Linked DNA regions of Nothobranchius furzeri. The protein of the gene in region 1 interacts with the protein of each later gene in a pairwise test. Links are inferred from orthologs where the notes say so. Each region holds a gene or a part of one and is shown on either strand. Other genes may lie near its edges.

Region 1 (3,012 bases):
TGAGGCCTAACAGTTATTTAATTATCTTCCAGTGACGGGCACAAAGGTCTTCGTCATGCCTGGTGGGATGATGAAGTGCAACACAAACCTTGTGGAGCTTATTGAAAAGGTCAAGCCAGAGATCAGGACACTCATAGAGAAATGTAACACAGTAAGTCATCCGTGTCTGTCTCTTTCAATGTGTGTCCTTAAATGTCAACCTTACTGGAAAAACATTTTTTAATGATAATTCTTATTATAATTGGTCACTCTGAGATTTTTATGCAGGCGAAACATGAAAATGGTCTCCTACACCTATCTCCTGCATTAGCTTCTGATAGAAAATAGACGGTGAAACTCTAGGATTAGAAAATCCTGACAGATCTACGTCACCCTGTCACTTAACATTCATGGACTCACGACGGGGAAGGCTGTTGTTTTAGAGTCCAGGAAAGGGCAGAGAATGGCTTCGCTAGTAGAAGCTAACTGTTAGCATTAGTAACTCCACCACATTCCAGAACTCCTCCAGGCTTGTGTTATTTGTGGAGATGAAACATCAGTGTTGCTAAACAGAGTCACTGGTAGAATCGCATTGCTGTTAGCCAAAGAGATACGAGATGTCCAAGTATTTGGAAAAAAGACTCCAAATCCTGCTGTGTTCAGCTCCGCTTTGATCTGGCTCACTTCTAGATCCTGAAACAGGCACACTGGAGCTTTTTTTTCTTCAGAGCACAATTTACAAGGCATTCCTGCCTACTAGAGACCACCGCAGATGTATTAAAATATGAGTTAAGTTGATCATTTGTATATGTGTTGGTTTTACATCCTGACTAGCCACACCTCACGTATCACTGATGCTTTGTCACTCAAATTGTTTCTTTTTTCCCCGCAGGTTAAAATGTGGGTTCAGCTCCTCATCCCCAGGATAGAGGATGGCAACAACTTTGGCGTTTCAATCCAGGAGGAGACGGTAGCTGAACTCAGAACAGTCGAAGGAGAGGCTGCGTCTTACCTCGATCAGATTTCAAGGTCTGCAGAGGCTCCAAACATATGGATTTATTTCTAAACAAAGCAAAATGGTGTTGTGTATTTTTACAGTGTCCAAACGTTGTTTGATTCCTCTTTTAATCCTAGATACTACATCACAAGGGCAAAGCTGGTTTCTAAAATAGCCAAATATCCACATGTGGTAAGTAGTTATCTTAGAATGGATTCAGTTTTATTCCAAGTATTGGAAATAGAATTAATGCTAGAATGTTTAAATGTCCTAAACATTTCTCACATCATTTACGTGATTTTGGGTCCATGTCTGACTGTCGTTGAAGGCTTGATGTGATTTAAGCATTTTTTAGTCAAACTGCTGCGCCTTTCCTAACAAAGTGGTTCAAATTAGTTATGTGCCTTTGGACCACCTATAAGGTAGTTAATGTATTAAATATGTTTACCTCAGTGGTGTTGTGTGTTGCTGAAGTAAGTGCAACTCATAAAGGTTATTTTTGTGTGAAATTATTATCGTTATTAATTAAACCCTTTAGATAGCTTTCAGAACAATCTTATTGCTAAACAGGCTATATGACTAATAAGGTTTATGCCAATAGTCCTAAAACTACTCATGTTACAGCAGTTCATGCAAATGTTATTTTACTAATTCCCATACTGTCATCTGTTTTGGGCTACTTTGTTATTTTGGCATTAATTAAAAAATATCCGCCAGACCCAACCCCGTGTGTGCTGGAAGTGCTACATTTAATGCTGATTTAACAGCAATGTTTATAAATGATGTGAAAATTACAAGATTGAGAATAACCTGAAAGTCTGCTTATCTTGTTCCAAGATGCTTACGTGTGTGCAACATGTTTTCTTTCCAAGCTGTTTTTGGGATGAATGAAAAATTTGGCTATTTATACTTTTCATATTTACATATCAAGATTTCTGACCATTATCTATCTTTCATTGTGTTTACAAACCGTTTTTCTCCTTGTAATCAGGAGGACTATCGGCGCACGGTAACAGAAATTGACGAGAAGGAGTACATCAGTCTGAAGATCATAGTTTCGGAGCTCAGAAACCAATATGTGCGTTGTCTTCAATAACAGTCTAGTCATCGTGTATCTTTGTTGTCCTTAAACCTGCTTTTTCTCTCATGAAGGTAACGTTACACGACATGATACTGAAGAACATTGAGAAGATCAAGAGGCCTCGAAGCAGTAATACTGATGCATTGTACTGATGTCGGTCTCTCCTTCCCTGTCATCTCCCTGCTCTTACATGCTGGCAGCAGCCTCACCCCCATCTGCAGGAAAACTAGACATTCACACACTTCAACACACTTCAACACAGTCGACTCAGCCCAGTATGAAAACATAGCTTCATAGATGGACACCTTTTTGTTTTAATTGTAAATGTGTTTTTGTTTTAATTCCTTCAAAAACGTTAAAGTTCTCTCAGAAAATGGGACAGTAAACTATAGGCAACATAAAGCACGATGTATTTTTTAATTTTAATTAAACATCTTGTCTCCAGATCCTTTGTGACATTTCTTCTTTTGTAGCTGATATTTTGTGGAATATGAATTGGTCTCATTGAACCTTTTCTGGATCTGGATGATGCTGGTAAGTTTGACATGAAATTACCGGTAAACAAAAACCTGTTGTTCTCTGAATGTTGTACATTATTACATTGTGTAGGTGTCAGGTCAGACGTTTTAGATTTGTGGGCTTAACGGTTTTCAGTGAAAATGCATAAGTCAGCATTGGTTCTATTGAATAAAACCATTTTTGATACAACGGTTTTTATCTGTTGCTTACCAGACAGACATCTGATCATAGGATGACAAGTAGTTATAATAAATTATTTTTACTAATTATACAGCCACCTATCAGAGGGTTATAGCTCCGCCTCTTCCTGGACTACATCACATTTGTAAAACTAACCTTTATCTTTCATTTTTTTCTACAAGAATATGGTTCACACAGTCATGTTTTCCCCCCACAAACACGGGATGTTTGAATGCCTTTAGTTGTGTGTGAGTGA
Region 2 (4,304 bases), on another chromosome or scaffold:
AGATAATTTTTGAAGAAGTTTATTAAAAAAAAATATTAAAACTATTAGAATGATTTAAAATGCCTCAACAGAAAGAAAATGTTAGGAGTCTCTTACAGCTTACTTGATTAGATTAGTTTTCAACAATGTGTTAAATATTTTCAAATTGTGATAATTGTAGCATAAATAGAAATAAATGTTTATATTTATATACGTATTAAAGAGTCTCACTACAATTTGATGTTGACTTATTTTTTTCTAATCCTTTAAAAAACAATGGATGCGAGAAAGATAAAACACAGTATTGCCTTTATTTGGATTCACTTTATTGCACAGGTTAAAAGATTTTCTACTTTTATCAGTACATTTTAGAGTATTTGCATAGAACAGTTTCAGAGCAAAGCAGAATAACTGTTTTGCAGACACATTTAGTTGTAAGCACAAAGTTAAGACATTTAGAGAATAAAATAGGATCACATACATCACTCCTGTGAAATAAACTGAGAAAAGAAATGTTGCAAAACAGAATAACTACAAACTGAGGCTTTTTAGTGTCATAAATAAAGCTTAAAATACTGCAACTAAAAGTGACAAGGTATTTTAAGCATTTTGCATTCTGCAGGGTGTTGTTGAGCCAAAAGGGTCTCAGTCAGAATCACTGCTGCCACTGCTGCTGCTGGATGACTGTAAAGTAAACAAATATTTTGATAACTTTAGTACAATCAATTTAATAAACTGAATAATTGAATATCAAATTTTATAATACATAAATGCAGTAATTATAATAAAAATAGTTTGAGATGAGGAGGATAACCTTTACTGCAGGATAACAATAGAAATTTATACAATCAACACTATTGTACCATAATTCACATGTGACAAATCAAAGATCCAACACCATTTTTAATATTTCTACTAAATCTTCCAAAAAGCACAAAATGATTCATTTCAAACTTAAGTCAAGTTCCATTTTCTAAATGTATTACCTTGCTAAGTGACTATGTAATCTGATTATAGAAACCTGAGAGAATGCAAACTGTTCAAGATTATTTAAACACAGGGTCAAGACAAACAGCTGTCAAAAATAAAGTCATCCATCTTTTTATGCATTTGCGGAAATCTTCACACCCTTCACTTTTACTACACACATAGCTTCTACACTGAACTCATAAATCCCTTCAGAAAAATTGTGTACCGTTGTTTATGCAACAGTATGAACACCTAGATAAGTTCCCTTACTTGCAGTATTAGGAAATGTAAAGAATACAAATAATGCATGACATGATTTGCTGTACTGCTTATGTATTTGTTTTTTATGATAGTTCTGTGCAAAAAACTACAAATCTGTCATGCCTAATTTAAGCTGGTATATCTTCATAACTGTCCAGCAACTAGCACTTGTTTATTTGACTGCTTGCTGTTGTATAGTTTCAGTTTTGACTCTCTTCATCTCATTGTTCCGTTGATCTAGAAATACATATTCTTTCATTCCCTGTTTAATGACAATGTGTATTTCCTGAACTGACTGATCTAAAGAAGAGGACCTGGGCAGGTTCATTTGTTTCTGTATTAGTATTTCAGCAGCAGGAGGGATCATTTTCATTTTTTATATTCTTACTTAAAATCTGAACACACCTTGCCATGTTTGTGGTGTCCATGCTTGTGAGCTTTCTTCAGCTTCTTCATCTTCTTATGAGCTTTGTGTTCACCCAATGCCATTCCAAGCCCCATTCCTCCAGCTAAACCTCCAGCCAAGGGAAGCAACCCACCATGATGATCTTTGTGCTGGCCTTTGTGGTGACCTTTGTTGTGACCCCCTTTGGGTGAATGTGGATAAGGACCAGGATAAACACCTCCAGGGGGGGCCACTGGATATACACCTGGAGTCATAGGATAAGTATTGGGTACAGGAGTTACATAGGCCACCCCCCCTGGAGTTGCATATGGCCCCACAGCTGGGTAGTACACAGAATTTGGTGCCGGTAGGACAGTCCCTGGTGGAGGAACAGCCGGGTTTATGGAATTGTAAGGGGGAGGGAAGGCAGGGTTGTGTTGGACAGGAGGAGGGCCTGAAACAAAAAGCACAAGATCACAACTCATGCCTGAGATCAGAAAGGGTGTGAAGCAAAGAGAATCCAAATGCAAAATAAAAATATGAGTGTTACTTGCGAAATCTGATATCTTACCTTGATTTGGCCACATAGTTTCAGTTTATTTGATCAGAAAATGAAATCAGGTTTCACACAAAGTTCTACAGAAACAAACAGATTATATAGTTGATTCATTTAATTAGTTTTTAAACATGTCTTTAAAAAAACTAAACACAAAACTATACGTGCTTATTTTTCAAACTACTTAAAGAAAAAAAATTGTTTAATAATAATGATTAGAATAAGAACACCAGCAAAGTAAGATTTCAAGGTGAAAGTAATAGAAAGAAAACAGCCTCGCTTTTTATGTAGGACTGCTGTAGCGATATAAAGAAATGTACCTGCGCAAGCTGAAAACCGAGAACACGTCAAATAACCTACACCTTAGGGTAGGTTAGGGATTATGTTCAACTGAACAGATACATAATTAACAAAATGCCATCGATCTGACTCATGAGACAAAGTAAATAATGTTTTGTCAAGTAAACAAACTGTTCTTGTATCTTTACTATACTAGTAATACCTAAGTATACGTAGAGATCTTACCTCTGCTGTTGCTGAGTATGGAACTTGAAGTTTCGTGTTTGACTTCCGCATTTTATGTTGGGGCCACAGACCTGAATATGTAGGGCGCTGCAGAGCGTAAGCGTCACCACGTAAGCGTCACCGCCATATTGGATGGGTCTCCTCATCAATGCGAAGTGGTAACATCCGTTTTTGTGTAGCCTACAAACACCGTGCGGGCGGTGTTAAATGTGACTCCTCACACACGACGTACCGCCTCCCTTCGTGCAGCCCGAACCATCAAAGCACACTCACCTACATTTCTGTCTGACATAAAGAGTGAAGTAACCTGCGCCGCACGTGAGGGGAAATCCTGGCTGAGCTAAAAGTTTGCGTTGGTAGAGTGATGAATAAAGTGGTAAAATAAGTACATTTTCTTGCGCTATAAGTTACTGTTTGAACATAAATGCCTCTGAAGATAATTCACTCGTTTATTCACAGGTGTTGGAATGAACTCTGACATGAGGAAATTAGCTGACTTGTTTACGGAGGATTCAGAAAATGATGCGACATTTTATGGCTTTTCTGACTCTGAATTCGTAGATACGGTACGTTTTTATTTTTTAACAAATATTTTAGATTAGTCATGTCGACATGTGTGATGTATGGCAGAGAACGGCTGCCCTTTTAATTGTTTTACAGTATTTCAACAAGAATTTTAACTTTTTTTCTGTTAAGCTACTAGAAATTTTCTCAACAAGTAATTTTTACATTTCCAAACAGCGTTTGGATTATGACGATGAAGTCCAGCTTGACATGTCCCCCAAGGAACAGCAGAAAACCACATCTGCAGGCCTTCCACCTTTCAGACTGAGGGTTGCATTACGCTGTGTGCCTTCCATCCAGCTGTCCACAGGTCATGATGCAGAAGACAGTGAGAAAATAACAACTAGAAGAGGAGTGAAGAGGCTGAGAAACACCAGTAAAACTAAAAAGGACAGAGCTGTAAAACGTGAAGAAGAGGAGTCAACAGTTGGCCATCCTTCTCTGTCTGAGGAGCGTGGATCTGATTCAGACGAAGATGTTTTTGATAATTTTCTGTTAAAGAGAGAGCAGAACATCAAGGCTAACAAAGCAATGGTGACTCAGAAACATTTAAATTTTAGTTGGAAGTCAGTAATTAGAAATCTGTAATTTGAAAAACACTGCATTTAAACCCAATAATGGTCAATTAGTGCTTAAAACTTTAACAGATACCACATTCTCAACAGCTCAAAACCTCTATTAGAGGAGCCAATAAAGAGGATAACTGATTTTTTTGTTATTTGATCCTGATACTGGGGTCCAGAAACCTAATTTGATATATTTTGCTGGCAAGTCATTCTGATCAAGCAAGTAAAACAATAATAATGCATATAAAATACTTAGATTTTTAAGGCTGTAACTCTGGCATGTTATTTATATTACACTGCTGATTTTCAAAAGGGAATTTTTTTGAATTATTATTTTTACAGTTGGCTCAGCTGATGGCAGATCTGCAGAAAATTCCAGAAGGTGCAGGGATTTTCAAAAGATCAGGCAAACGGAAGGCAAAAGTAAGACACTCTGTGAGTGCACTGAAAAAAGGCAAATTTGTTAAACATCACTAGTCTTAGCTAATTTTCAAAACCC

The links.
Region 2: the proteins of psme3 (region 1) and prr13 interact in binary tests that used the Homo sapiens proteins (3 or more experiments, as listed by UniProt). The two-hybrid records come from large-scale screens. The link is inferred for Nothobranchius furzeri from reciprocal best matches to the Homo sapiens genes PSME3 and PRR13.

Annotation. Positions count from the first base shown.
Region 1 is NC_091756.1:48,472,627-48,475,638, reverse strand, and holds the end of psme3 (proteasome activator complex subunit 3), read left to right. Parts: intron 1-32; coding exon 33-151; intron 152-871; coding exon 872-1,008; intron 1,009-1,113; coding exon 1,114-1,168; intron 1,169-1,967; coding exon 1,968-2,054; intron 2,055-2,128; coding exon 2,129-2,209; 3' UTR 2,210-2,503; downstream 2,504-3,012. UniProt on the Homo sapiens protein: Subunit of the 11S REG-gamma (also called PA28-gamma) proteasome regulator, a doughnut-shaped homoheptamer which associates with the proteasome. 11S REG-gamma activates the trypsin-like catalytic subunit of the proteasome but inhibits the chymotrypsin-like and postglutamyl-preferring (PGPH) subunits.
Region 2 is NC_091743.1:62,074,290-62,078,593, reverse strand, and holds prr13 (proline-rich protein 13), read right to left. Parts: upstream 2,810-4,304; 5' UTR 2,676-2,809; intron 2,231-2,675; 5' UTR 2,182-2,230; coding exon 2,166-2,181; intron 2,049-2,165; coding exon 1,615-2,048; intron 664-1,614; coding exon 625-663; 3' UTR 272-624; downstream 1-271. Other genes in the region: cell division cycle-associated protein 7, read left to right, coding at 3,143-3,241, 3,417-3,773, 4,148-4,240. UniProt on the Homo sapiens protein: Negatively regulates TSP1 expression at the level of transcription. This down-regulation was shown to reduce taxane-induced apoptosis.